Linked DNA regions of Stegostoma tigrinum. The protein of the gene in region 2 binds, or shares a complex with, the protein of the main gene of each other region. Links are inferred from orthologs where the notes say so. Each region holds a gene or a part of one and is shown on either strand. Other genes may lie near its edges. The genes, in order: surfeit locus protein 1, cytochrome c oxidase assembly factor 1 homolog, smim20 and ndufaf1.

The links.
Region 1: cytochrome c oxidase assembly factor 1 homolog (region 2) and surfeit locus protein 1 share a complex: the UniProt entries of both Homo sapiens proteins name them as parts of the MITRAC (mitochondrial translation regulation assembly intermediate of cytochrome c oxidase complex) complex. The link is inferred for Stegostoma tigrinum from reciprocal best matches to the Homo sapiens genes COA1 and SURF1.
Region 3: cytochrome c oxidase assembly factor 1 homolog (region 2) and smim20 share a complex: the UniProt entries of both Homo sapiens proteins name them as parts of the MITRAC (mitochondrial translation regulation assembly intermediate of cytochrome c oxidase complex) complex. The link is inferred for Stegostoma tigrinum from reciprocal best matches to the Homo sapiens genes COA1 and SMIM20.
Region 4: cytochrome c oxidase assembly factor 1 homolog (region 2) and ndufaf1 share a complex: the UniProt entries of both Homo sapiens proteins name them as parts of the mitochondrial complex. The link is inferred for Stegostoma tigrinum from reciprocal best matches to the Homo sapiens genes COA1 and NDUFAF1.

Annotation. Positions count from the first base shown.
Region 1 is NC_081382.1:44,016,213-44,024,002, reverse strand, and holds the start of surfeit locus protein 1, read left to right. Parts: upstream 1-4,790; 5' UTR 4,791-4,907; coding exon 4,908-4,973; intron 4,974-5,169; coding exon 5,170-5,245; intron 5,246-6,229; coding exon 6,230-6,357; intron 6,358-7,332; coding exon 7,333-7,415; intron 7,416-7,790. UniProt on the Homo sapiens protein: Component of the MITRAC (mitochondrial translation regulation assembly intermediate of cytochrome c oxidase complex) complex, that regulates cytochrome c oxidase assembly.
Region 2 is NC_081355.1:101,831,540-101,839,346, forward strand, and holds the start of cytochrome c oxidase assembly factor 1 homolog, read left to right. Parts: upstream 1-4,839; 5' UTR 4,840-4,913; intron 4,914-4,938; coding exon of another isoform or gene 4,939-4,986; exon of another isoform or gene 4,987-5,001; intron 5,002-5,338; exon of another isoform or gene 5,339-5,442; intron 5,443-7,807. Other genes in the region: blvra (biliverdin reductase A), read right to left, coding at 4,717-4,839. UniProt on the Homo sapiens protein: Component of the MITRAC (mitochondrial translation regulation assembly intermediate of cytochrome c oxidase complex) complex, that regulates cytochrome c oxidase assembly.
Region 3 is NC_081354.1:89,191,667-89,198,634, forward strand, and holds the start of smim20 (small integral membrane protein 20), read left to right. Parts: upstream 1-3,957; 5' UTR 3,958-4,022; coding exon 4,023-4,131; intron 4,132-6,968.
Region 4 is NC_081363.1:84,965,864-84,973,531, forward strand, and holds the start of ndufaf1 (complex I intermediate-associated protein 30, mitochondrial), read right to left. Parts: upstream 3,001-7,668; 5' UTR 2,975-3,000; coding exon 2,510-2,974; intron 2,217-2,509; coding exon of another isoform or gene 2,193-2,216; exon of another isoform or gene 2,166-2,192; intron 2,026-2,165; coding exon 1,840-2,025; intron 222-1,839; coding exon 147-221; intron 1-146. UniProt on the Homo sapiens protein: As part of the MCIA complex, involved in the assembly of the mitochondrial complex I.

The DNA.
Region 1 (7,790 bases), on a different chromosome or scaffold from region 2:
GGGGTACAGTCCCACACACACTGACTCTCACTGGGGTACAGTCCCACACACACTGACTCTCACTTGGGTACAGTCCCACACACACTGACTCTCACTGGGGTATAGTCCCACACACACTGACTCTCACTGGGGTACAGTCCCACACACACTGACTGTCACTTGGGTACAGTCCCACACACACTGACTCTCACTGGGGTACAGTCCCACACACACTGACCCTCACTGTGGTACAGTCCCACACACACTGACTGTCACTAGGGTACAGCCCCACACACACTGACTCTCACTGGGGTACAGTCCCACACACACTGACTCTGACTGGGGTACAGTCCCACACACACTGACCCTCACTGGGGTACAGTTCCCACACACTGACTCTCACTGGGATACAGTTCCATATGCACTCTCATGACTACTCTTCCTCTGTATTCTTGGTCGGGAGGTATTAGTTTTGAATGTGGTTATTCTGTTCATTCAAGGTATAGAGCTGGATGAACACAGCAGGGCAAGCACCATCAGAGGAGCAGGAAGGCTGACAGGTCTTCACAAGTGTCTAGGCCTGAAATGTCGGCTTTCCTGTTCAGCTGATGCTGCTTGGCCTGCTGTGTTCATCCAGCGCTACACCTTGTTAGCTCAGATTCTCCAGCATCTGCAGTTCCTGCTAACTCTGTTCATTCACACAGGTTTCTATGTACTGATATTTTTGTCAAGCTGTGGATTGTGGTGAGGTAATCACATCTGAAAGGCCTGAAGTGGCAATATTAACAAATCTGCAGCAGCTCAACTTTCAAATCCAACAACTTGGGGAGCAGCTGTCATTCCAGCTCAATGATTACGCTGTTAGACTGTGAGTGAAATGTAAACGGTGCCATTTTCTCATTGTAAACATTTTTCTCAATGCACACGAGATCAATAATTATCAACACAGGGCAGCATTACGGTGATGTGAAGAGGATTAATCTGACAAGAGGGTTAATATGGAGCAAGTGAAGAACATTCTTCACTTGCCTTTTTTGTCAAGCTGTGTTATTCCAGGCAGAGCTTTCCCCAACACACTGGTCTGAAGATGTTGCTCCAGTCTGATTGCTCCATGTCAGGGAGTCTTCCTTGTGATTTTAACTAAATAGTTCACTTGCATTCCTGAAGGCCAGGCATTCACTGACCCTGAAGGCATCAAACTAGTGTGCAAAAAAACAAATTATCTGCATTTATTTATTTTCAAAAGGTCAGCTGAAGTAAAATGGAGTTTTCTGAATGCTCTGTTCTGCTTTGTACACGTACCAGAGAGCCAAGGAAAACAGTGAATCCAAAATACCATGAACCCAAACTCTGAACCTCAAGCACCAAGAACTGAAACACAAATGTCATAAACTGTAAAAAGTGAAACCAAACAGTTTGTCCCCCACTGAACCCCAGCTCTGGAGAGATGGAGTAAGGCTACATTCCCTTCCACTCAGACAAACCAGGAACAAAGGACAAAACTCTGAAGAGGAGCATCTCCTCTGGTCACTTCCAGCAACAATAAGTGCAACTTAATAAAATAAATAACTGAGTGTGTATCTATCATTTGAAGGATCACTGAGAGGAAAGTTCATTAAATTTAAAATGTTTAAGAAGTTGTGTTGAATGTATGTTTCACATTCTAGCATAAACAGGGGCCAAGGAAACTGCTTTATCATGACAGGCACCTGAGTCCGGTGCTTCTGAAACTGTTCATTTTGTTTCATGTTCCATGCTTTTCTGTCTCTTGATTCTATCTGAGAACATTGCCAAATAAATGTGTTGCTTGAAAAGGTTGGGCACACTATTTTTGAATAACGCAACGCAAATAGATTGAAAATAATTTGTGACACACCAACTAACTGCCAACATATACCAATTTAATAACAATCATGTTTTGCTGTACGAGTCGTTGTCAGTGTTGGGTAGAAGGTTCAGGGAGAACTGGAAAAACAAATTAGAGAAACAAACAAAGAGTACTAGAAGAGACTGATAGTGAACAAAAAAATAAATGCAGAAGTTTTCTCTAGACACAAAAAGTAAAAGAGACTAAAAAGAGGATTTACACATGGAGACAATAGTCCTGGCTTGTGCTAAATGAACATGTAGCAGCACTGTGTTCCAGAAAAGAGGTTGTCCCAATCATAGTGAAGGACGAGATTGTTCAGACACTTGAAAGGTTTAAGATTGATAAGGAGATGGGATTGGACAGGCAGTCCGCACTTAAAGTTGTTCAGGTACCATAACTGGGTGAGGTGCTCTGAGGACACTGAGGTAAGTGAGAGAGGAAATTGCAGAAGCACTGGTCATAAATTGTCAATCTTCTTCAGAGTCAGGGATGGTGGAGAATTGTAAATGTTACACCATTAGTGCAGCAACTACAGGCTGGTCATTTTAACTTCACGGGTGGGAAAACTACGATTGTTCAGGACAGAATTGGGCAAATGTTGGGTCATTGAGGAAAGGCAACATAGAATTGTTAAGGGTGAATAGTGCTTATCTAACCTGACATTTTTTGATCAGATAACAGGGAATGGGTAATGAGGATAATGATGTTAATGTGTACATGGACTTCCAAACTTCATTTACACAGTGACTCCTGGACTTCAGGGGTTAAGTTACAAGGAGAGGTACACAATTTATATCTGTTTTCTCTAGAATTTGGAGGGCTAACGAATGATATAGTTGAAGTCTTCAAGATATTAACAGGAAAAGATAAACAGATAAAGTGATGGAACATGTCATCAACAGTGCTGTCAAGCAGCACCTGCTCAGTGATGCCCAATTTGGGTTCCACCAGGGATACTTAGCTCCAGACCTCATTACAACCTTGGTTGAAACACAGACAAAAGAGACCTGAAATGCAGAGGTGAGGTGAGAGTGACAGCCCTTGATATCAAGGCTGCATTCGACTGAGTGTGGCATCAAGGAGCCCTGGCAAAGCTGCAATCAGTGGGTATCGGGGGCAAATGCTCCAGTGGTTGGAATCATACCTGACATAGATGAAGATGGTCGTGATTATGAGAAGTCAATCAGCTCAGCTCCAGGACATCTCTGCAGGAGTTCCTCAGGGTAGTGTCCTAGGCCCAACCATCTTCAGCTGCTTCATCAATGAAATTCCCTCCATCATAAGGTCAGAAATGGGGATGTTCGCTGATGATTGCACAGCACCATTCGTGACTCCTCAGATACTGAAGCAGTCCGTGTCCACATGCAGCAAGATCTGGACAATACACAGGCTTGCGCTGATAAGTGGCAAGCTGTGACCATTACCAATAAGAGACAATCCAACCACTACCCCATTACATTCAAATGTGTCACCATCACTGAATCACCCAAGATTAACACGCTGGTTGTTATCATTGATCAGAAGCTCAACTAGAATCCACATCAATGCAGTGGTTGTAAAAGCAAGTTAGAGGCTAGAAATACTGCTTCAAGTAACTCACTTCCTGACTCCCCAAAGCCTGTCCACCATCTACAAGGCACAAGTCAGCAGTGTGTTGGAGTACTCCCCACTTGCCTGGATGAGTGCAGCCCCAACAACACTCAAAAAGCTTGCCACCATCCAGGTCAAAGCAGCAACTGATTGAATGGCACTGCATCCACAAGCATCCATTCCCCACACCACAGACACTCAGGAGCAGCAATCTGTACTATCAATAAGATGCACTGCAGAAATTCACCAAAGATCCTCAGACAGCATCTAAACCCAGGACTACTTCCATCTAGAAGGATAAGGGCAACAGATACATGAGAACACCAACACCTTCAAGTTACCCTCCAGGTCACTCACCATCCTGACTTGGAAATATATCGCCGTTCCTTCAGTGTTGCTGGGTCAAACTCCTCCAATTCCCTCCCTAAGGGCATTGTGGGTCAACCTACAGCAAATGGACTGCAGCAGTTCAAGAAGGCAGCTCACCCACATCTTTTCAAGGGCAACTACGGACAGGGCAATAAATGCTGGGCCCAGCCAGTGATGCCCACATCCCACAAAATGAATAAATAAAAGAACAATTTTTAAAAAAGACAAGCTGGGTAAAGATAAACTGTTTTCACTGTTTGCTGATTCTAGTGCCAGGTGCATAGGGTTGAGAATTAGGGCCACGCTGTTCAGGAGAGATTATCTCATATTCTCCAGTATTGGCAGTTCCTACTATCTCTGTTCAGGAGATATGCTAGGAAGCATTTCAATACACAAAGGGTGGTAGACTTTGGAAAATCTCTGTCTCAAATGTCAGTGGATGCTGGATCAGTTATTAATTTAAAATCTGAGATAAATTTTTGTTAAGCAAGCTATTAGGAGGATGGAAAAATAGAACATCCTTTATGGTCCAAAGGGCCAAACGCAGGTACCATGGAGTTAAGCCATAGATCAGCAATGATCTCATTGATTACTTTTCCACTGCTGGGATGAGGACATTGCTAACCAGACCAGCAGTTATTGAGGGTCACCCACTACTGTGGGTTCGCAGTCACATGTTGACCACACACGACACTGAAAGGCTAGCAGCTTCAGAGGGCCAGCAGGACACGGAAGGGGCGAATGGACTGCAGTGTGATACACAGACAAAGTGTAATTCAGGAGACACCATTGAGAAGCCACAGGCAGAGCAGGAACACACCACGTGGCAGCGAGGCCCCGCCCCTTTAGTGTGGCGCCGCGGTTGGGCTCAGCCGGAAGTGACGGCATAGTTCCGCTTCCGGGTGAACATGCTGCGGATTCTCCGGTGTTCGCCCCGGGTGAGAGACCCCGACACCGCCCCCCACCCACCCCCCTCGCCCTCCCCACACACCCCCCCCGTACTGGAACAGCACAGCTCGGGCAACAGCTTGTTCTGGAGTACAAATCATCAGTGTCATCGCCAGAATGTTGTCAGGGCCTATAGCCTTTGCAGTATCCAATGCCTCCAGCCACTAATCTAAAAGCCAGCCTTTCCCCAGTTTCTGGAATCGTGCATTTTGCTGAGGTTTGTTGTGTGATGAGATAGTTCTGTCTAAAGGTCTGGCTTTATTTGAATGGGCTGAATGGTCTTCTCCTGAGCAGATTCTACTAAACCGTGAAGTGACACTGAAAGAGAGATATTGGCTGTTGTATCAGTGAGGCCCATGAGAAGTATCAGGGGTCAAGCCTTATATAATGTTTGCTTTCTGTTTCACCTGCAGCTCTTGAATGCTTGTTCGGCAGAAGTTTTTCCTGGGACTGAACTGGTCTTACCCCATGTCAGAGCAAAACTTGCAGGTAGGCAGCTGTGGTTACAGCTTGGAAATCCTGACATTAATATTCCAACTTCAGCATTGTGCAAAAACACCAAGATAATTCACAGAAAAATCAATCAACAGAGTTTAACATTAGAGTCATAGAGATGTACAGCACAGAAACAGACCCTTCGGTCCAACTCGCCCCTACAGACCAGACATCCTAAATAAGTCTAGTCCCATTTTGCCAGCATTTGGTCAATATCCCCTAAACTCTCCCTATTCATGCACCCTTTTAAATGCTGTAACTGTACCAGCCTCCACCCCTTCCTCTGGCAGCTCACTCCATACACGCACCACCCTCTGTGTGGAAAAAGTTGCCCCTCAGGTCCCTTTTATATCTTTCCCCTCTCACCTTAAACCTATGCCCCTCTAGTATTAGACTCCCCCCACCCTGAGGAAAGACCTTGTCTATTTACCCTATCCATGTCCCTCATGATTTTAGAAAAAGGTCACCCCTCAAACTCCAATGCTCCTGGGAAAATAGCCCCCCGCCCATTCAGCCTCTCCCTGTCGCTCAAACCCTCCAACCCTGGCAACATCCATGAAGATCTTATCTTCACTCTTTCAAGTTTCACAACATCGTTCCTATAGCAGGGAGACTAGAATTGCACACAGTACTCCACGTCAGGGCAAGTAAGCAGGATTGATTTTTCAGAGCATTAATGAAGCAGAGAATGGCAGAGAGGTTTCAGGCGGGAATTCCAGAGCTTGGGGGCCAAGCAGCTGGGGCATGGCCACCAAGGGAACAGCAAAGGGAAACAGAGAGTGTTTGAGAGGCCAGGGTGGAGGCACACAGCTCACAGGGTCAGGGGTGACAGAGATGGGGGCGGGTGGAGGGGGTGACAGAGATGGGGGCGGGTGGAGGGGTGACAGAGATGGGAGGGGCTGGGGATCATGTGATGGTGATAGGGAGAGGTCTTGGCCTCTGATTCCTGTCGGGGTTAATTCTGTGTCTCTGCTGAAGGGGTTGCTAAGAGACGAAATGGGGTGAACATTTCCACGACCACAGTTGCCACGGGGACCGATGATTCATTCCTGAAGTGGACCCTGCTCCTGATTCCTGTCACTACCTTCAGCCTGGGCACCTGGCAGGTAACCACTGGGAGTGGTGGTACATGCAGGTCACGGGAGAGGGGAACAGTTGGGTGTGGGTTGGCGCAGGTTTGGGATGGATGGATGGATGGAGGGGTTTGGGATGGATTTAGAGGTTTGGGTGGAGGGATGGGATGAGGTGGAGGGATGGGGATGGGGTGGTGGGAGGCAATTAGGTGGATGGATGGGGTTGGAATAGAGGAATGGGGTTGGAATGGAGGAATGGGGTTGGGATGGATCGGGGGAGTTGGGTGGAGGGATGGGGATGGGATGGATGGAAGGGCTTGTGTGGAGGGATGGGGTCGGGATGGATGGAGGGGATTGGGTGGAGGGATGGGGTTGGGATGGATGGATGGAGGGGATGGGGTGGAGGGATGAGGATGGGGATGGGATGGGATGGAGGGATGGTGTTTGGGCGGAGGAATGGGGTTGGGATGGATGGGGGGGGTATTGGGCAGAGGGATGGGGTTGGGATGGAGGGGATTGGGTGGAGGGATGGGGATTGGGATGGGGTAGAGGGATGGGGATTAGGATGTTGGGGGGGGATTGGGTGGAGGGATAGGGTTGGGCTGGATCAAGGGGATGGGGTTGGTATTGTTGGGGGGGTTGTGTGGAGGGGTGGGGATTGGGCTGGATGGAGGGGATGGGGTGGAGGATTGGGGATTGGGCTGGATGGAGGGGATGGGGTGGAGGATTGGGGATTGGGCTGGATGGAGGGGATTGGGATGGATGGAGGGAATGGGCTGAAGGGATGGGGAATGGGCTGGGGTTGGGGAGATGGGGATTGGAATGGATGGAGAGGATGGGGATGGGGTGGAGGGATGGGGATGGTGATTGGGATGGATTGAGGGGATGGGGATGGGGTTGGGCTGGATGGAGGGGATGGGGATTGGGATTGGGAGGGATGGATGGAGGGGATGGGGATGGGGGTCTGAGGCCTATTGCTGCTCTTTCAGGCTCTCACTGTCTGCTCAGGTGCAGCGGCGGAAATGGAAGCTGCAGCTCATCAAGGACCTGCAAGCACGAACTCGCTCGGAGCCACTGCCCCTGCCCCTGGGGTAAGTCACACTCTGCTCCTGCCCCACCCCCGGGGTAAGTCTCACTGAACTCCTGCCCATGGGGTAAGTTACCCCGAGCCCCTGCCCCGGGATAAATCACCTTGAGCCCCTGCCCCTGTCCCCGGGATAAGTCACCCTGAGCCCCTGCCCCTGTCCCCGGGGTACGTAACAGTGGGCCCCTGCCCCCCCACCCCTGGGGTAGATCACACTGAGCCCTCCTCCAGGCTAAGTCGCATTGATCACCACCCCCCAAGGCCCCACAACCTCGGGGTGGAGGGGAGTCACACTGTCCTCCTTTGTGATGGTTTCTGTTCAGGTGGGGGTGGGTTGTTCACGGCTGTTTCACTGTCACATAGACTCTGAGCGTTGCCTGTC
Region 2 (7,807 bases):
CGGGCCTGCGGGACAGGAAGAAGCGGAGGGCCTTGAGGCCATCTGCATGCGGAATGCAGGTGTATAGGGACTGGACATCCATGGTGAAGAGGTGGTGTTGGGGGCCAGGGAATTGGAAGTCCTGGAGGAGGTGGAGCGCATGGGTGGTGTCATGGACGTAGGTAGGGAGTTCCTGGACCAAAGGGGAGAAAATGGAGTCCAGATAGGTGGAGATGAGTTCGGTGGGGCAGGAGCAGGCTGAGACGATGGGTCAACCAGGGCTGGCAGGTTTGTGGATTTTGGGAAGGAGATAGAAACGGGCCATGCGGGGTGTCCATTTTCTCCCCTTCACCAACAGCTTCCACCCCAACCTTCAGTTCACCTGGGCCATCTCCAGCACATCCCTCACCTTCCTGGATCGCTCAGTCTCCATCTCAGGCAACCAGCTTGTAACTGATGTCCATTTCAAGCCCACCGACTCCCACAGCTACCTAGAATACACATCCTCCCACCCACCCTCCTGCAAAAATTCCATCCCCTATTCCCAATTCCTCCGCCTCCGCCGCATCTGCTCCCACGATAAGACATTCCACTCCCGCACATCCCAGATGTCCAAGTTCTTCAAGGACCGCAGCTTTCCCCCCACAGTGATCGAGAACGCCCTTGACCGCGTCTCCCGTATTTCCCGCAACACATCCCTCACACCCCGCCCCCGCCACAAACCCCTCGTTCTCTCACACCACCCCACCAACCTCCGGATACAACGCATCATCCTCCGACACTTCCGCCATCTACAATCCGACCCCACCACCCAAGACATTTTTCCATCCCCACCCTTGTCTGCTTTCCGGAGAGACCACTCTCTTCGTGACTCCCTTGTTCGCTCCACACTGCCCTCCAACCCCACCACACCCGGCACCTTCCCCTGCAACCACAGGAAATGCTACACTTGCCCCCACACCTCCTCCCTCACCCCTATCCCAGGCCCCAAGATGACATTCCACATTAAGCAGAGGTTCACCTGCACGTCTGCCAATGCGTTATACTGCATCCACTGTACCCGGTGTGGCTTCCTCTACATTGGGAAAATCAAGCGGAGGCTTGGGGACCGCTTTGCAGAACACCTCTGCTCGGTTCGCAACAAACAACTGCACCTCCCAGTCGCAAACCATTTCCACTCCCCCTCCCATTCTTTAGATGACATGTCCATCAAGGACCTCCTGCAGTGCCACAATGATGCCACCCGAAGGTTGCAGGAACAGCAACTCATATTCCGCTTGGGAACCCTGCAGCCTAATGGTATCAATGTGGACTTCACCAGCTTCAAAATCTCCCCTTCCCCCACCGCATCCCTAAACCAGCCCAGTTCGTCCCCTCCCCCCACTGCACCACACAACCAGCCCAGCTCTTCCCCTCCACCCACTGCATCCCAAAACCAGTCCAACCTATCTTTGCCTCCCTAACCTGTTCTTCCTCTCACCCATCCCTTCCCTCCACCCCAAGCCGCACCCCCATTCTCCGACCTACTAACCTCATCCCACCTCCTTGACCTGTCCGTCTTCCCTGGACTGACCTATTCCCTCCCTACCTCCCCACCTATAGTCTCTCCACCTATCTTCTTTTCTCTCCATCTTCAGCCCGCCTCCCCCTCTCTCCCTATTTATTCCAGAACCCTCACCCCATCCCCCTCTCTGATGAAGGGTCTAGGCCCGAAACATCAGCTTTTGTGCTCTTGAGATGCTGCTTGGCCTGCTGTGTTCATCCAGCCTCACATTTTATTATCTTGGATTCTCCAGCATCTGCAGTTCCCATTATCTCTCCCATTTAGGAAAAACATCTTTTTCTAAAAAAAAACATATTCCAAAAGTGCAAGGCACCTGCTACCCATGGTCTCATCATTCCCTACCTTCCCAACTGATGTCCTATCTCTGTCTAAGACCTGTGCTTCATTGCCATCCTTGACTAAACTCCATTGCTGCAACTTTCTCGGTGTGACACAGCATCATTCTCTCATTCCACTTCCAAATAGGGCCTCAGGATTAATACTGGTTCAGCCACACTGCATTTTCCACAGAAAGTATCTGTCTGCTGCGTCAGCATCTGTGTTTCTGCAGTTTACATTTTCTTTTTGACCTGACCACTTTCTTGACTAAGAATAAATTAAAAATTAATCTGAAATGATTTATATGATCATTGCTTATGAAGTGAACTAAAACTTCCTACCTAATTCTAATGCCAGTTGGAACTTTAAGTGGAGTCACAGGTTAACGCATCTCATACTCAAACTGCCCCCTACAACTCTGTGGCATTTTACTTGGAGCAACGCATTGCCGATATCTACCTGTCCTTGAGAAGCTGGAACATTGAGCAATCGGTGTCTCTGCCACTGTTAGCATCCTCCTTACATCTCTCACCTTTCTTCAGGCAACCAATGGCTTCATCACACAAGTATAAACAAAAAATTTCCATTTTCAGGTCGTCCAAGAAGGTGGCGGTAAACTGCCTTCTTGAGCTATTTCAGTCCATGTGCGATAAAGACACACCAACATTGTTGTTATAGGGAGTTCCAGAATTTTGACTCAGCAACAGTGAAGGTATTCAAGTAGCTAAAATGGCCTCTGCCAGTTAGTTTAATTCTCCATTGTGAAATTGGGAAATATCTGGATCTCTACCTTCTCATACAGCGATCCATTATTCAAAACGTGCTCGCGACAAAATCCCCACCCTCCAGACAACATACAAGCCTGACTTGGACCTCGGCCACCATATATATTCACCTCTCAGTCAGAAAATCCTTAGAATTCCTTACCTAGCAGGACTGTGGGCATAGTTAAACCATGTAAATTGTGGTTTAAGATGATAGCTAACCACATTCTCAAATGCACTTAGGGATTGGCAATAAATGCTGGCCTCACCAGTGAGGCTTACACATCATTAATGAATAATTTAAAAAGTATAGTTTTCCATGGGCCCGGGCTTAACTTTCCAACCTTTTAATGTCTTCCTGTTTAGTTCATGGTAGAAACATACCACAAAGGTCATGGATTTTCACCCTCAGTGTGCTTCTCATCATGAATAAGCAATTTAACTGCAGGTTCCTGGAATAACTTGTCTGTTTTTGAAATGCCCAAATGCCACACGAGTGTTGCACTCAGGTCTATATCTAGTACTTGCAGATGCATCAAGTTTAGTGCAGGACAGTGAAAAGATACTGAAGGGAAGTGGAGAAGCAAGATACACTGTGCAAGTGGTTTACTGCAATGTATTGCAGCTTGATAAGAAAGGTCAGCCCTCTCAGTTCCTCCCTTTAGTTATTATTAAGTATTATCCAAGCACTCGAGGAATTTAATAAATTACATTACAGGTTAATTTATTATGAATTTAGCACTAGTTAAAACTAATTTTAGTATTACAGGTACTATCAACATACTTTAATACAGGGTAGGAACTCAAAACACCTGTAATATCTGATTAATACATTTCAAGAAAAAAAAAGAACAATTAGACTGTAGATGCTCCATGTTTTGCATCAGATATCCAACAGATCAAAAAAAATCTTGTTTCCAGTCAGGCAGGAACATATAATTCAAGTTTAGCTTCCTTTATTTCATAGAACTTTATACCACTGAGGGAAGGTATTCAGCCTTTGGTGCTTCTCTCAGCTCTATGAAAAAACATAAGGCAGGAATAGGCCATTCGCTTAGATAATGTGTGACTTCATCCACATTCCCACCTTGGTCAAGCAGTTCATAAGGCCTGTCAACTTAGTCCTGTTCCCTTATCCTTTCCAATATTTATCCATTTTTATTTTTCAAACTATTATGGATTCCACTTTTACCTTTGTTTCTAGCAAGTCCAAACTGTTGTATCAACATGCACTTTTACATACATCTCAGAGTACCAGCACAACGAGCAGTGTTGTGTTAGTGGTCCAATTTTCCTTTCTCTCACATAGGTTACCAGGAATCATTCCCATTCTTATGACTTGCGATTGGTTTCTGGTCAAAGGATAGTTTGGCCATGTTATGGATGCACCAGCATTGGTTATCAGATCTTGGAATGAGACTTAAACCTAGGTCTTTTAGGTCAGAGGCAAAAAGGAGCTATCACTACACCGTACTTCCTTTAACACTGTGTAACGTCCATCAGCAAAACTTCAACACTTACTTTATCAAACGCCTTTTTACGAATCCAGATATACAAGATTCTGTGCATTTTCTTTATTGTATATCACATTACTTCCTCAAAAAAATTAAATGTCAGAAAAAATCCTTTTCCCTTAATGAATCACTGGTTCTTGGGTGTCCCACCAATTTTTGCCCATCAATCAATATGGGTAAACATATAATTTGTCAGCATAACACTCGTGTCTTTGGGAGCTTGCGCTGCACCAACATTTTCTACATTCCATTGACGAGAATGCCCGAAACACCTCGTCGATTGTACCACTAAAAAGGCAACACAGAAGACCACCTGCAAGTTCCCTATCAAGCTACTGTCGTGGAACTACATCACCATTCATTCCCTATTACCGGGTCACTGTCCTGGAATTCCATTCCTCACCGCACTATGGGTGTACTAACCTTCACACAGATTACAGCAGTTCAAGAGAACAGCTCAGCATCAGTTTCTCAGGGGCTAATAGAGATGGCTTAACCTAGAATCCCACATCTCTTGAACGCCTGCGTTTTAAAAAGAATACCACAAAGTCCTGTCTCTTTACCACAATAAACATACCCAATGCGAATTCTCACACCGACCTCCCGAGTGGCTCGAACACACTGTTACATAAATAGTTTCATTCCCCGGGACAATGCGCAGGCGTGTCCTGAACCACATGACCTCCTCCATGTATGCCATAGACCGTATTCCAGTGACATCAGAGCCCACATGCCACGGTTGTCATTATTTCTCAACTTTGCAACGACAGTAAGGTAACGAAACTGAGACTCGTCGCACCAGGCAATATCTTGTTCTATCGTTGTCCACAAAAAAAACCTTGTACATCCATCTTCCAGCTGCACGTTCAGCCCTGTGACTGGGAAAATAACGCGGCGAATAAGATGGGAGGCTCACCCATTACCTAATTGAAATTATTTTGAAACAAAACCAAAGCTGCTGGAAATGCTCAGCAGGTCTGGCGGCATCTGTGAGCGGAAAAAAAAATCAAAGTCAACGTTTCGGGTCCGGTGACACTTCCTCAGAAATTAGTCTAGGTTCACTGGCAAGGAGGAGTGACTGCATCGGTTTATTGGATGAAATGAATTCTAACATGTCACTTTGAGTTTGTTACGGACGTTGATTCGCATGTTTTAGTTTTTAAAAAACCTGTTTTAAATAAAGCGTTCAGGCCATATTTTGATACCTTTTTGGGCTTTAACCAATGTCGCGAGAGTGTCAATGATGCTATCTTGAGCCTGGCAAGATGGCGCTGCCCATGTTGGGAAGTCGCGGTTATTCAATGTGAGTAAATGTGAGCAATCTGATAGCATTTTCATTGTTGCTGCAGACTCGAGACGAAACATTAGTAGCAAAGAGACAGGATTAAATTTAAGGTCGTCGCGCCCTCTCTTCACTGCAATACTGGAACAGATAATTCCGGTTTAATCTTCAGTACATGCTGCCTATGAATGTTTCCAGCATCATAACTTTTTTCTAAATTGAATATTCGTTAGGACGCTTAGTTTTGTCAAATTGCACGTTTTCCCTTTGGTCGTTCTGTTGCAAGGAGCAGCTAAAGTCCCCGGTAATGTCTATCGTTTCTTTGTGTAGTTACTACTTTAGTTTCGGTATCCCTTCTCCCACTCAACCCTCCCCTCCCCCCATAAGAAAAGGCTGAGGCTTGCACAGCAGGTAAGGGGAGCAAGTCAAATAGTCAAGGCAGACAAGATAACGGGGTAAAATTGACAAACGAAACTGCATTTGTCTCCAAACAAGAAACCTCAGAGTTAAGGTAGACGAATTTAGGGCATGGTTGGGAATATAGTAGTGTGCCTCAAGGATTGGTGCTGGGCCTACTGCTTCTCATTTGTATAAATGGTTTGGATGTGGATATGAGGTATGGTTAATAAGTTTGCTGATGATGTTAAAATAGGTGATGCAGTGGATAGTGAAGAATGCTGAGTACAGCAGAACTATGATTGAATGGGCCAAGGAATGACATTCGGAGTTTGATTTAGATAAATGTGAGGTGTTGCATTTTGGCAAGGCAAACCAGGACAGGACTTGTATAGTTAATTGTAGGGCCCTGGGGTGTGTTGCTGAACAATGGGGCCTAGAGTTGCAGATGCATAGTTTCTCGAAAGTGGGGCATGAGACAAACAGGGTGGTGATGAATGTATTTGCATGCTTGCCTTCATTGGTCAGAACCTTGAGTATTGGAGTTGGGACATCATGTTGCAGCTTTACAGGACATTGGTGAGTCCATTTTTGGAATACTGTGTACAATTCTGATTCCCCAGCGATAGGAAGGGTGTTGTTAAAGTTGAAAAGGTGCAGAAAAGACTTAAAAGGATATTGTCAGAACTGGAGAGTGTGAACTATAGAGAGAGGCTGAATAGGCTGGGACTTCTTATGTTCCTGGGAGATTCTTGGGCTGAGGGGTGATCTTGTTGAGGTTTATAAAATCGTGAGGGCCATGGATAGGGTGAACAGTCAGTCTTTTTCCTAGGGGGGAGTCCAAAACTAGATGGCACAGGTTTACGGTGAGAGGGGTAACTTTTTCCACTGAAAGGGTGGTGTGTGTAAGGTACTACTAGAGAAAGTGGTGAAGACTGGGACAATTTACAACATTTAAAAGGTATCTGGATGTGCATATGAATAGGAAGGGTTTAAGAGAGATATAGGCCAAATGCTAGGAAATGGGAATAGGTCAGATTGGGATGTATGGTCAGCTTGGACAAGTTGGACCGAGGGGTCTGTTTCCATGCTATATGGCTCTGGATGGTGCACTTCAGTTTCTGGTCTATGGTAACCCCAGGAATTAGAAATTGGTAGGAATTCAATGAGGATAGTGCCATTAAACATCAAATGAAAATGGTCATTTCCTCTCACTGGACTTGGTCATTGTGTGCCATGAATGTTACTTGCCACTACACGCAAACATTGGCTGCTTCAGTATCCAAGGAGCAGTGAATAGTGCTGAACGTGGCTCAATTATCAGCAAACATCCCTACTTCTGATCTTATGGTGGAGGGAATATTGTTGAAGTAGAAGATGATAGTTGGCTATTACCTCCAGGCAGACATGGTGCAGGACCCAGATAATTGACCTTTAGCAGCCATAACCATCTTCCTTTGTACCAAGTATGGCTTCAACCAATAGAAGGTTTTCCCCTGATTTCTATTGACCCCTGCTTTGCTTGGGGTCCTTGAAGCCAAGTTCCATAAAATGCTGCCTTGATTCAAAGGTGGCCACTCTCTCCTCATCTCTGGAACTCAGTTTTTTGTTCAACTACAGACAATGTTGTAATGAGATCAGGAGGTGAGTCGGCTGTTGGAAACCAAGCTGGGCATCGGTGAGCAGGTATCTCTCTTGCCAGTGCTGATTGGCTCCAAAAAACCAAAAGAACTGCAGATGATGAAAATCAGAAACAACAATAAAAATTGCTGGGAAAACTCAGCAAGTCTGGTAGTATCTTTGGAAAGAAAGCCATTCAGAACTAAATCTGCTTTCTCTCGACAGATGCTACTGACTTGCTGAGTTTTCCTAGCAACGTTTGTTTTTGTTTCTGCTTGATGACTCTGTAGGTAACTCCTTCAATTACTTTGCTTATGACCAAGGATAGACTGGGGTGATAGGCTGGTTGAATTTGTCCAGGAACAACGCA
Region 3 (6,968 bases), on a different chromosome or scaffold from region 2:
GTGGCACTGAATTCCACCGGCCCACCACTCTTGGCTGAAGAAATGTCTCCTCATTTCCGTTTTAAATTTACCCCCTCTAATTCTAAGGCTGTGCCCATGGGTCCTAGTCTCTCCCATCTACTATAACAAATTCAATCATATTGAGTAAAAACCAAAAGAACTGTGGAAGCTGTAAATCAGGAACAAAAACAGAAGTTGCTGGAAAAACTCAGCATCTGTGGAGAAAAAAATTAGAGTTAATGTTTTGGGTGCAGTGACCCTTCCTTAGAGCTGATGGTAGCTAGGAAACGATTAAATGCAGAATATAGGGAGGGGGAGGGGCAGTAAACTATAAGTAGGGATAGAGCCCAAAGAGAGAGAAGAGCTGTTGGATAGACGAAGAAGTTGATGATGATCTGGCTGGGAGGGTGAATAGCTGCTAATGGGGACAGTTAGTAACCAACAATAGGTAGTGTGTAATGGAAAGCTATGTGATAACAAGACTTGGTGTGTGGGGTAGAGGAAGAGGATGAGGAGGTGGGAGAGTTTAGGCCCTAAAATTATTGAACTCGATATTGAGTCCTGAGGTCTGCAGGGTCCCCAAGCGGAAAATGAGGAAAACCTAAGATGTTGTACCGAGTAATAATGGGAACTGCAGATGCTGGAGAATCCAAGATAATAAAATGTGAGGCTGGATGAACACAGCAGACCCAGCAGCATCTCAGGAGCACAAAAGCTGATGTTTCGGGCCTAGACCCTTCATCAGAGAGGGGGATGGGGTGAGGGTTCTGGAATAAATAGGGAGAGAGGGGGAGGCGGACCGAAGATGGAGAGAAAAGATAGGTGGAGAGGAGAGTGTAGGTGGGGAGGTAGGGAGGGGATAGGTCAGTCCAGGGAAGACAGACAGGTCAAGGAGGTGGGATGAGGTTAGTAGGTAGGAGATGGAGGTGCGGCTTGGGGTGGGAGGAAGGGATGGGTGAGAGGAAGAACAGGTGAGGAAGGCAGAGGCAGGTTGGACTGGTTTTGGGATGCAGTGGGTGGAGGGGAAGAGCTGGGCTGGTTGTGTGGTGCAGCGGGGGGAGGGGACGAACTGGGCTGGTTTTGGGATGCGGTGGGGGAAGGGGAGATTTTGAACCACCCCCAGGCCTCCTACCCTCCCTTGACCTCTTCATCTCTAACTGCCGTCGAGACATTAACCGCCTCAACCTCTCCACCCCTCTCACCCACTCCAACCTGTCCCACCCAGAACGGGCAGCCCTCCGCTCCAACCCCAACCTCACCATCAAACCCGCAGACAAGGGTGGCGCAGTGGTAGTATGGCGCACTGACCTCTACATCGCCGAGGCCAGACGCCAACTCTCCGACACCACCTCCTACCGCCCCCTCGATCATGACCCCACACCCGAGCACCAAACCATCATCTCCAACACCATTCATGACCTCATCATCTCAGAGGACCTCCCACCCACAGCCTCCAACCTCATTGTTCCCCAACCCTGCACGGGCCGTTTCTATCTCCTTCCCAAAATCCACAAACCTGCCTGCCCTGGTCGACCCATCGTCTCAGCCTGCTCCTGCCCCACCGAACTCATCTCCACCTATCTGGACTCCATTTTCTCCCCTCTGGTCCCAGAACTCCCTACCTACGTCCGTGACACTACCCATGCCCTCCTCCTCCTCCAGGACTTCCAATTTCCTGGCCCCCAACATCTCATTTTCACCATGGTCGTCCAGTCCCTATACACCTGCATTCCGCATGCAGATGGCCTCAAGGCCCTCCGCTTCTTCCTGTCCCGCAGGCCCGACCAGTCCCCTTCCACCGACACCCTCATCCGCCTAGCCGAACTCGTCCTCACCCTCAACAACTTCTCTTTCGATTCCTCCCACTTCCTACAGACTAAGGGGGTGGCCATGGGCACCCGCATGGGCCCCAGCTATACGTGCCTCTTTGTTGTTACGTGGAACAGTCCCTCTTCCACACCTACACAGGCCCCAAACCCCACGTCTTCCTCCGTTACATTGATGACTGTATCGGCGCCGCCTCTTGCTCCCCAGAGGAGCTCGAACAGTTCATTCACTTCACCAACACCTTCCACCCCAACCTTCAGTTCACCTGGGCCATCCCCAGCACATCCGTCACCTTCCTGGATCTCTCAGTCTCCATCTCAGGCAACCAGCTTGTAACTGATGTCCATTTCAAGCCTACCGACTCCCACAGCTACCTAGAATACACCTCCTCCCACCCACCCTCCTGCAAAAATTCCATCCCCTATTCCCAATTCCTCCGCCTCCGCCGCATCTGCTCCCATGATGAGGCATTCCACTCCCGCACATCGCAGATATCCAAGTTCTTCAAGGACCGCAACTTTCCCCCCACAGTGGTCAAGAACGCCCTTCACCACGTCTCCCGCATTTCCCGCAACACATCCCTCACACCCCGCCCCCGCCACAACCGCCCAAAGAGGATCCCCCTCGTTCTAACACACCACCCCACCAACCTCCGGATACAACGCATCATCCTCCGACACTTCCGGCATCTACAATCTGACCCCACCACCCAAGACATTTTTCCATCCCCACCCCTGTCTGCTTTCCGGAGAGACCACTCTCTCCGTGACTCCCTTGTTCGCTCCATACTGCCCTCCAACCCCACCACACCCGGCACCTTCCCCTGCAACCGCAGGAAATGCTACACTTGCCCCACATCTCCTCCCTCACCCCTATCCCAGGCCCCAAGATGACTTTCCACATTAAGTAGAGGTTCACCTGCACATCTGCCAATGTGGTGTACTGCATCCACTGTACCCGGTGTGGCTTCCTCTACATTGGGGAAACCAAGCGGAGGCTTGGGGACCGCGCAATAAACAACTGCACCTCCCAGTCGCAAACCATTTCCACTCCCCCTTCCATTCTTTAGATGACATGTCCATCATGGGTTTCCTGCAGTGCCACAATGATGCCACCCGAAGGTTGCAGGAACAGCAACTCATATTCCGCTTGGGAACCCTGCAGCCCAATGGTATCAATGTGGACTTCACCAGTTTCAAAATCTCCCCTTCCCCCACCGCATCCCAAAACCAGCCCAGTTCATCCCCTCCCCCCACTGCACCACACAACCAGCCCAGCTCTTCCCCTCCACCCACTGCATCCCAAAACCAGTCCAACCTGTCTCTGCCTCCCTAACCTGTTCTTCCTCTCACCCATCCCTTCCTCCCACCCCAAGCCGCTCCTCCATCTCCTACCTACTCACCTCATCTCACCTCCTTGACCTGTCCGTCTTCCCTGGACTGACCTATCCCCTCCCTACCTACCCCACCTACACTCTCCTCTCCACCTATCTTTTCTCTCCATCTTCGGTCCGCCTCCCCCTCTCTCCCTATTTATTCCAGAACCCTCACCCCATCCCCCTCTCTGATGAAGGGTCTAGGCCCGAAACGTCAGCTTTTGTGCTCCTGAGATGCTGCTGGGCCTGCTGTGTTCATCCAGCCTCACATTTTATTATGTTGTACCGAGTGCCTTTGTGCCTAAGATGATGCTTGGCCTGCTGTGTTCATTCAGCTCGACACTTTGTTATCACAGTTTCTCCAGATTCTGCAGTTCCCATTATCTGTGATGCTGGGAATAGTGACTTTGTACACTTTTCACTGTACTCCTGCATCCCTGTACTTCAGAACAGTTGACAGTAAAATCTAATTATAATTCCTCAGGAGGAGGAGCCAGGCATTGTTGTTTTCGGTGACTGAGAACTGAACGTATGAAGTATCCACAGCAAGAAATGCTTCATGACATGAAGCCACCGGATGAGAAATTGGCAAACTATTTGAATAAGAGATAGCAACAATCAGAAAGGAAGCAGACTGGGCTCAGCGCGTGCGCAGTGGAGCAGAGTGCGCTAAGATGCCATTCGGTGGGAATTGCCCGTCTCAAAGGTGGCGGCCGCGCACCCGGTCACATGATACTTCGCGCACGCGCGTACCGGGACGGATATAGGAAGCAATTGTCGGGGTGGGAGAGTCGTCCGTTCCGATCCGTCAGCGTGCGCCATGGCTGGGCATGCGCGGGTGGTTTTGTTGTTCGGTGGCTTCGCCGCTCTGCTGGGAGCCGCCTTTTACCCCATCTACTTTCGGCCGCTGATTTACACCGAGCAGTACAGTGAGTGAGAGAAACAATCTGCGGCGGAGGTGGATGGTCGGTGCGGATACGGCTAGTTACCGGCTCTAACTCCCACCCTTTCCTGCTGTGTCCCCCTCCCCTCACCCCCTGTGGATTTGATGATGTTTCATCAGAGTGAGGGTCACGGCCTTAGGACGTGTGGCTGAAAGGGGAGAGTTGCCTTTGATCAGGGTGATGAATCTGTGGAATTCTCGACCACGAAGCCAGGTCACTGAAGATAATAAAATGTGAGGCTGGATGAACACAGCAGGCCAAGCAGCATCTCAGGAGCACAAAAGCTGACGTTTCGGGCCTAGACCCTTCATCAGAGAGGGGGATGGGGAGAGGGAGCTGGAATAAATAGGGAGAGAGGGGGAGGCGGACCGAAGATGGAGAGAAAAGAAGATAGGTGGAGAGGAGAGTATAGGTAGGGAGAAGATAGGTCAAGGAGGTGGGATAAGGTTAGTAGGTAGGAAGTGGAGGTGCGGCTTGGGGTGGGAGGAAGGGATGGGTGAGAGGAAGAACAGGTTAGGGAAGCAGAGACAGGCTGGGCTGGTTTTGGGATGCAGTGGGTGGGGGGAAGAGCTGGGCTGGTTGTGTGGTGCAGTGGGGGGAGGGGAAGAATTGGGCTGGTTTTGGGATGCGGTTGGCGAAGGGGAGATTTTGAAGCTGGTGAAGTCCACATTGGTACCATTAGGCTGCAGGGTTCCCAAGCGGAATATGAGTTGCTGTTCCTGCAACCTTCGGGTGGCATCATTGTGGCACTGCAGGAGGCCCATGATGGACGTGCCATCTAAGGAATGGGAGGGGGAGTTAAAATGATTCGTGACTGGGAGGTGCAGTTGTTTATTGCGAACCGAGCGGAGGTGTTCTGCAAAGTGGTCCCCAAGCCTTCGCTTGGTTTCCCCAATGTAGAGGAAGCCACACCGGGTATAATGGATACAGTATACCACATTGGCAGATGTGCAGGTGAACCTTTGCTTAATATGGGAAGTTATCTTGGGGCCTTGAATGGGGGTGAGGGAGGAGGTGTCGGGGCAGGTGTAGCACTTCCTGTGGTTGCAACTGAAGGTGCTGGGTGTGGTGGGGTTGGAGGGCAGTGTGGAGCAAACAAGGGAGTCATGAAGTGATTGGTCTCTCCGGAAGGCAGACGAGGGTGGGAATGGAAAAATGTCTTGGGTGGTGGGGTCAGATTGTAGATGGCGGAAGTGTCGGAGGATGATGCGTTGTATCCAGAGGTTGGTGGGGTGGTGTGTGAGAACAAGGGGGATCCTCTTGGGCGGTTGTGGCGGGGGTGGGGTGTGAGGGATGTGTTGCGGGAGACGTGGTCAAGGGTGTTCTCGACCACTGTGGGTGGAAAGTTGCGGTCCTTGAAGAACTTGGACATCTGGGATGTGTGGGAGTGGAATGCCTCATCCTGGAAGCAGATGCGGCGGAGGCAGAAGAATTGGGAATCGGGGATGGAATTTTTGCAGGAGGGTGGGTGGGAGGAGGTGTATTCTCGGTAGCTGTGGGAGTCAGTAGGCTTGAAATGGACATCGGTTACAAGCTGGTTGCCTGAGATGGAGACTGAGAGATCCAGGAAGGTGAGGGATGTGTTGGAGATGGCCCAGGTGAACTTGAGTTTGGGGTGGAAGGTGTTGGTGAAGTGGATGAACTGTTCGAGCCCCTTTGGGGAGCAACAGGCAGCGCCGATGCAGTCGTCAATGTAACGGAGGAAGAGGTGGGGTTTGGGGCCTGTGTAGGTGTGGAAGAGGGAATGTTCCACGTAACCTACAAAGAGGCAGGCATAGCTGGGGCCCATGCGGGTGCCCATGGCCACCCCCTTTGTCTGTAGTAAGTGGGAGGAAACAAAAGAGAAGTTGTTGAGGGTGAGGACGAGTTCGGCTAGGCGGATGAGGGTGTAAGTGGAGGGGGACTGGTTGGGCCTTGAGGCCATCTGCATGCGGAATACAGGTGTATAGGGACTGGACGACCATGGTGAAAATGAGGTGTTGGGGGCCAGGGAATTGGAAGTTCTGGAGGAGGTGGAGGGCGTGGGTGGTGTCACGGACGTAGGTAGGGAGTTCTGGGACCAAAGGGGAGAAAATGGAGTCCAGATAGGTGGAGATGAGTTCGGTGGGGCAGAAACAGGCTGAGACAATGGGTCGACCAGGGCAGGCAGGTTTGTGGATTTTGGGAAGGAGGTAGAAACGGGCCGTGCGGGGTTGGGCAATAATAAGGTTGGAGACTGTGGGTGGGAGGTCCCCTGAGATGATGAGGTCATGAATGGTGTTGGAGATGATGGTTTGGTGCTCTGTGGTGGGGGGGGGTGGGTGGGTTCATGATCAAGGGGGCGGTAGGAGGTGGTGTCGGAGAGGTGGCGTTTGGTCTCGGCAATGTAGAGGTCAGTGCGCCATACTACCACTGCACCACCTTTGTCTGCAGGTTTGATGGTGAGGTTGGGGTTGGAGTGGAGGGAGCAGAGGGCTGCCCGTTCTGCGGGGGAGAGGTTGGAGTGGGTGAGAGGGGTGGAGAGGTTGAGGCGGCTAATGTCTCGGCGGCAGTTGGAGATGAAGAGGTCGAGGGAGGGTAGGAGGCCTGGGGGTGGTGTCCAGGAGGAGGACTTGTGTTGGAGGTGGGTGAAGGGGTCAGTGGCGGGAGGGTTGGGCTGCTGGTTGAAGAAGTAAGCGTGGAGGCGAAGAGCAGTTTTTCCGCCGCCTTTGTCCAAACGTGACTGGTATTCGTTCATGTGTGGTTGTTGGGGGACAAAGGTGAGCCCCTTGCTTAGGACTGACCGTTCGTCCTCAGTCAGTGGGAGGTCTGGGCAGATGGTGAAGATTCAGCAGGGCTCAGTG
Region 4 (7,668 bases), on a different chromosome or scaffold from region 2:
GGGGAAATTATGCTGAATGGCATTGCCTTGTGCTCACGCCAGCTGCGAAAGCCACGTAAACCTAGGGGAAGTTCTGCTGATCATTGACATGATTGTCAGACCAAAACGGGGTTTGTTTAAACACTGGCTCAATCAAGTTCTCCAACCTTGTCCAACCACAATGGATGCTGGTTGTCTTGGATTCGACCCCGACTAGACAGGAAAAACTTGGAGAACGGAATCTGGAAAAACACAAGAAACAGAGACGTTAGAAAAGTTTCCTTTGGGTGCACTGAGCGTATTGAGAGGCAGAGAGATCAACTTACTAAGGCTCCTGCACTTTCCAAACCTGTGACCTTTACCAACTACAAGGACCAGGGCAGCACATACATGAGAACGCCACCAACTACAGCTCCTCTCCAAGCTATACACCATCCTCACTTATAATTATATTGTCATTCCTATACTGTAACCGGGTCAAATTTCCAAGGACTGCAGTGGGTCAAGAAGGCAGCTCAGTCCCATCTTTGCAAGGGCAATTAAGAATGTGCAACAAGTTGTTGGCCTTGTTAGCAATGCTGACGAGCAACTGAAAATAATAAAGACTTGTGCAGAGAAAGCCAGCCCGTAGTTACAGCAAGTAATCAGGCAGTCTTTCCCCAATTGTACAGGGGCTAGTTACCATCATATCTAAAATTTAGTGTGCGGTTTGGGTCTCTATATTTAAGGAAGGATGTCCTTTATTGGAGTTGGTATAGAAATGGTTCACTACATTGGCACCTGGGTGAAAGGGCTGTACAATGATTAAAGACTAAGTTATGCTTATTCATTCTGGAGATCAGAAAAATGAGGGACGATCTCATTGAAACATGTAAGATTCTGAAAGGGTTTGATAGGGTCAATACTGAAAGATAAATTCCCTGGGAAGGGGAATCTGGAATGCAGGGAGCACAGGCTCAGGATAAGGGGCCAATTGTTTATGACTGAGACATGGCAGAATCTTTTCACGATTAGGTTTATGAAACGTTGGAATTTTCTGACTCCAGAAAGACACATCATTGCATTTATTTTCACTTATCTTTGTCCTGACAGATTACGGGGTGTGGATAGGAAAGTGCTGACCAGATTTCCTAAACTGAACTAGTCCCACTTGCCTGCGTTTGGTCCATGTCTCCCTAAACCTTCCCTGTTCACATACCTGTCCAAATAGCTTTTAAATGTTGTAACTGGGACTTCTTATACTGTAGTGTAGGAGGTTGAGGGGTGACCTACCACTTCCTCTGGCACTTCATTCCACATACATAACAGCCTGTGTTGGAGAAAGTTGCCCCTCAAGTCCCTTTTAAATCTTCCCCCTCCCAACTTGAAATATGTCCCCTGGTTTTGAACTCCCCCACCTTAAGGAAAAGATCTTTGCTAGTCACCTTTTCTATGACCCTCATGATTTTATTAAGGTCACCCCTCAACCTCCTACACTCCAGTGTAAGAAGTCCCAGCTTATCCAGCCTTTCCTTATAACTCAAGCCCTCCAGTTCTGGTAACATCCTTTTAAATCTTTCCTAAAAATCAGTTATAATCATAGGGAATGGTAAAACAGGCTCAAAAGGTCCCAACGGTCAATTCCTGCTCCAATTTCATTATGCTATGACTCTAATCCCCACCGAAGGGAGTAGAGGTCTCCCACAGAATCGTCCGGTATTGCCAGTCTAAATGAAGAGCTCAGGTCTTTGGAATGGGAGTGGTGCCTATTGAGGCTCCCCATTGTTCCACATCTAATACATGGAGGATTTTCCACTGGGATCCTGCAACCACAGGATAAAGCAAAACCTTCAGATAAATAGGGAGGAAAACCCATTCTACCTTCACATCCTGCCAATAGGGGCCTCCCCGGGTGAAGAGGAAATAGCTGTAAAGGTCATCCTTCTGATGGCTGAAGTACATCTCACTGCTGATGTTTACCATCCAGGGACGGCCATCCCCTCGGAGACGAATATGCAGCGTGTTGAAGTTTGTCAGGTCGTGGTACTTCTTGATGTCAAAGGCACCCTGTGGAAAGGGGCAGAAAGTCGATGTGATGGCAGTGACGGCACACTCACTGGGAACTCCACACGCACTGTGGGGAACTGTCCATGTGAGCTACATGGTTGTAGCGGGGGGGGTGGGGGTAAAGAGCTGAGAGGGTTCGAGCGTTAAGGGCAAGAGGGAAAGACAGAATGCTGAACAAGGAAAGAGGGCAGGTGAGTGAGGCACGGGTGGAGGAAAGTCCAGGATGGAGTGATGCGTGGGAAATGGAGAATTGAGGAGGGGCTCACCCTCTGTGAGGAGGGGCACGTGGAGGACAGGCGTGGAGGGAAGGAAATGTGTGGGGGGGGGGGGGGAAATGTGTGGGGGGGGGGGGGAAGTGTGTGTGTGTGTGTGTGTGTGTGTGTGGTGGGGGGGGACAAGAGAGTGTGTGGGGAGTGTGGGTGTGGTGGGAGAGGAGGAAAGAGTGTGGGGGGAGTGGGTGTGGGTGGGGTAACGGGCCCGGCACCTTGAGCTGGCGGCTCCTGAGGCTGCAGTAGCCGCTGTAGCGAGTCTCTCCGTCCCGGGGGGGCTCGGTGCGGAGCTCACCGCTCAGCAGCGCCGTCCTGCCGTTGGCCCCGACGCTGAGGCGGGCCCGGCTGCGGCCCCCGATCTCCCGGTCGCTGGAAACGAGCCAGTGGTCGAGGCTGCCGGCTCCCCGCGCCTGCCACAGGACGCGGTTCTGCTCGAGCAGTTCCTGGCGGAGGCCGCCGGGGCCCCGCAGCTTCTCCACCACCTCGGCCCACAACAGGCCCCAGTGCCGGCGCACGCCCTGCCGCCAGTCGCCGCGCCTCAGCCAGCTCCAGGGCGCGGACTGCGGGCTTGCCGGGGCCCCGGGACGCCGGTAACCGCGGACCCCGAACGGCGACGGGGACAGCAGCCCGCCGCCCGGCCGCGGCGGCGGCAACAACAACAACCTGAGGCGGCCCGCCATTTTGACCGCTTCCCAGGTAACGGGGGGGGGGGGAAAGGCCTCAAAAAAATCCCAGAAATTACCCGGAAAATACCGTAGTAAAAACACGCTCAACATAACCCCAACGATACATCTCTCTCCCCGCCGCCGCCAAATTATCCCAATAAAAAAAAACTCCAAAACGACCCCCAAATTGTTGCAGAAAATTTTCACTCGCACTCCCCCGGCAAATACCCCAGTAAAGTCCACAGAAACAGCCCGATGATCTCTCTTCCCACCCCACGCCCCAAATACGACAGTATACTCTTCCCCCACCACACACCTCCAAGATCACCACAGTAAAACTCCCAAATGCTCCCCAAATACTAGTATACACTCCCCTCAATTACCGTAGTAAAACTCTCAAATGCTCCCCCAAAATGCCAGTAAACCCCTCAAAATTACCACAGTAAAATTCCTAAATGCCCCTCTCCCAAAATAGCCCAGTAACCCCATCCCTCCATAATATTATACCCACCCAAATTATCACAGTAAAATTCCAAAATGCATCCCAAAAAAAATACCCGGTGTCCACCCCACCAAGAATGCTGGTAGACCTCCCCAAATTACCACAGAAAAACTCCCAAATGCTCCCCCAAAATATCCCAGTAATAGCCCAAATACCCCAGTATATCCCCAAAGTTACCCCTCAATCACTGTAAAATGCCCCCAAAATATTCGCCCCCATATATACTTCCCAAATGTATCCCAAAATTATCCCAGTGAGACTTCCAAATGTCCTCAAATAACTCAGTAAATGCTAAAGATACCCCTGTATAGTGAAGGGGGTTGAGTAGATTGGGCCTGTATTCATTGGAGTTTAATGGAATGAGTACATAACAAACGGGAGCGGGAATAGCCCATCTGGCCCGTTGAACCTGGTCCGCCATTCAATAAGATAACAGCTTGATATTGTCGTCAACTCAGATCTGCCTACTCACCATAACTGTTCCATCACTGTTGAAAATTTATTTTTGCCTTAAAACATTCAACGAGGTAGCCTCAACTACTTAAAATCCAAAAGACATCGTGGGCTGAAGGGCCTGTTCTGTGCTGTAATGTTCTATGTTCCAACTGCAGATGCTGTAAATCAGAATCAAAAACAAAGTTGCTAGAAAAGCTCAGCAAGTCTGGCAGCATCTGTGAAGTTCTGAGGCAGGGTCACCAGACCCTAAATGTGAACTCTTGATTTCTCCTTCACAGATGCTGCCAGACCTGCTGAGCTTTTCCAGCAACTTTGTTTTTGTTAGCCTCAACTACTTCACTGGGCAGGGAATTCCACAGATTCACAACCCTTTGGGTGAAGAAGTTACTCATCAATCTTAAATCTGCTTCCTGTACTTTGAGACTATGGAACTTTATCGAAACAGAAGATTCTGAAGAGACTTGGCAGGGTAGATGTGGAAAGCTTGTTTTGCCCTGAGAGTGTGTGTCTGGGAGTAGAGGGCATTGTCTCAATCTAAGGAGTTGCCCATTTAAAACAGATGAGGAATTTCTTTTCTCAGAGTAGCAAATCTGTGGAATTCTTTGCCACAGAGGGTTGTCAAGGCTGGGTTATTAAATATATTAAAAGCTGATAGAGACGGATTTATAATCAGTAAGGGAATTGAGGGTCATGGGAAAAGACAAGAAAGTGGAGTTCAGGATTATCAGATCAGCTACAAGGTTATTGAATGGCAGAGCAGACTCAATGGGCTGAATAGCAAACTTCTGTTCATACATATAATGGTTTTACAATTGATCTTGATCCCCACTAATCTCCTAAAAAGTCCTCCACATCCCCAGCAAAACCCTTCCCCTCAAAAAATCCTCCTCACCTCAATCCTTCAGTAATTCCTCCCAAGAATCCGACCAAACCTCAAATTCTAAGAAACCTATCATAAAACGGTCTTAAGCCCCAGACCTCAAGTGACCCCCTCCCTCAGAAATCCTCCTAATCCCCAACCTCCTAGTGTGGCCCTTTGAGCCTGCTGTACCATTCAATATGATCATGGCTAATTATTCAACTCAGTACCCTGTTCCTGCTTAGTTCCTGTACCCTTTCATCGCTAACATCTGAAAAATTCGGGAAAGAGAAATTACTCAGTGACTTGTCCACCACAGATTCGTTGCCCTTTGAGTGAAGACATTTTTCTTCATCTCAGTCTCAAACAGTCTGATTCATATCCTGAGACTAAGTCCCCTGGTCCTAGATTCCCCAACCAGGGAAAACATCCTTCCTGTATCTTGTCTGTTAGAATTCTCTACGTTTTAATCAGATCCCTCTCTAATCCTTCTGAACGAGTGAACATAGGCCCAGTCAGTCCAATCTCTCCTTAAAAAGGACAGTCCTGTCAGCCCCAGTATCAGCTGAGTGAACTGCTGCTGCACTCCATCTATGACAAGTATAGAAGAAATGAGACTCTGAAAGCTTGTGTCTTCAAATAAACTTGGACTATAACCTGGTGTTGTGATTTTTGACATTGTCCATCCCAGTCCAACACCAGCATCTCCACATCAAGTGTATCTTAGGCAGAGAGACCAAATCAGTGTGTAATACTTATTATGTTGACTTCCTGTCTCCTCAACCAATTGTCATCCATATTGTACAATGATTTCTGTATTCTGTGACCTCTCAAAGGTTAGGAAGTGAATATTCCAGGAACTTTAACATTTCAAAAATAACATGCTAAAGGGAAAAGCTGGGCACAGGTTGTCAAAATAGATGACACTAGGACAATTGTGAGGAAGGAGCTTGGCTCAGAAATGCAGTGAATAGACTCACCAGCATGTCGTGAACCAACAAGGGGCATATAGTACTGATGAGTGAAGATAATGGGACCCCCAACAGCTACAAAACAACTGGATACAGTATTAATCCAGGAATACTGTTCAGACAGACAGTCACAACACAGTAAAATTAAAATCTTCAAATACCCTCAAAATTGACTGCAATGTTTCTTAACCAGACTTCTGAATACCTAATACCACCTCTTCCTCCACTACATCGATGACTATGGGTGCTGCCTCGTGCTCCTACGAGGAGCTTAAACAGTTCAACTTTATTAACATCTTTCACCCCAACCTCAAATTTACCTGAAGCATCTCCGATACCTCCCTCTCCATCTCCTTCTCTGGTGACTGCCTCGAAACTGGCAGTTCATTCAAGCCTACTGACTCCCGTAGCTATCTGGACTACACCTCCACTTACCCACCCTCCATCAAGAATGCAATCCCTTACTCCCAGTTCCTCTGCCTCCACTACGTCTGCTTCCAAGATGGGGCGTTCCACTCATGCACATCCCAGATGTCTTCCTATTTCAAGGACCGTAACATTTCTCCCCCCAAACCCCCCCGGTGATCAAAAATGCTCTCAACCTCATCTCTTGCATTTCCTGCACGTCTACCCTCACATCCCATAACCTCAGTAAAAATAAAGACAGAATTCCCCCTTGTCCTCACATACCAACATCCCAACCTCTGCAATCCAGCGTATCATTCTCTGCCACCTACAATCTGACCCCCTAATCAAAGAGATATTTCTCTCCTCACCCCATCTGCCTTTCACAGAGACCACACGGTCCATGACTCCTTCATCCGTTCCACTCTCCTCACTAGCCCCACCATCCCCAGAACCTTTCCCTGCAACCACAGGAAGTGCTACACCCACCCCTACACGTCTCCCCTCACCTCCATTCAAGACCCAAAACAAACCTTGCATATCATACAGGGGTTCATCTGCACATCCTCTAACCGGATTTACTGCATTCCCTGCTCCTGATGTGGCCTCCTCTACATCAGGTGAGACCACATGTAGACTCGGAGACCGTTTTGTAGAGCGCCTGCGTTCCGTACGTGACAAATGACAATGCCTTCCGGTCACCAACCATTTTAACTCCCCGTCCCACTCCATGTCCATCCTGGGCCTCCTCTTGTGTCACTATGACACCACATGCAAACTGGTGGAATAATACTTCATATTCTGCCTTGGGAACCTACAGCCCCATGGCCTAAACATAGAATTCACCCGCTTTAAAATCTCTCTGCTGCCAGCCTCATCCCATGACCAAGCCTCCCCTCTCTTTCCTGCTTCCTCGACCAGACAGACCACAATCTGTCTAGCTTCGCTCCCACCCTATCCACACCATGCATCCCATTGACCAATCCCCACCACTTTCTACCTGCACTCACCTATCACCATCCCACCTACTTTCCTCAGCCCTACCTCTCCTCTCTATATTTATTTCCCAGCTACCTTCCCCCACCCCATCTCTGAAGAAGGGTCCTGACCGGAAACGTCAACATTAGTGTTCCTCTGATGCTGCCTGGCCAGCTGTTTTCCTGCAGCTCCACACTGTGTTGTCATGCTAACCGATTTTCTATCCATCTTAATACAACATCCCCTAATCCATGCACTCTAAATTTTACACGTTAATCTCCTATGTGGAAATTTATCAAAAGCCTTCTGTAAATCTAAATAAACCACATCTCTGGCTCCCCTGAATATTTCTACTAGTGATGTACATAAAAAATTCTAATAGATTTTTCTTTTATTTAGTTCTGTTCTCTCACAGACTAGGATGTTTCTGTTTGGCCAGCATTTATTGCCCATCCCTAGTTATAGAGTCATACAGCACAGAAACAGACCCTTCGGTCTCACCCCGTCCATGACGGCCATAATCCCAAACCAAACTAGT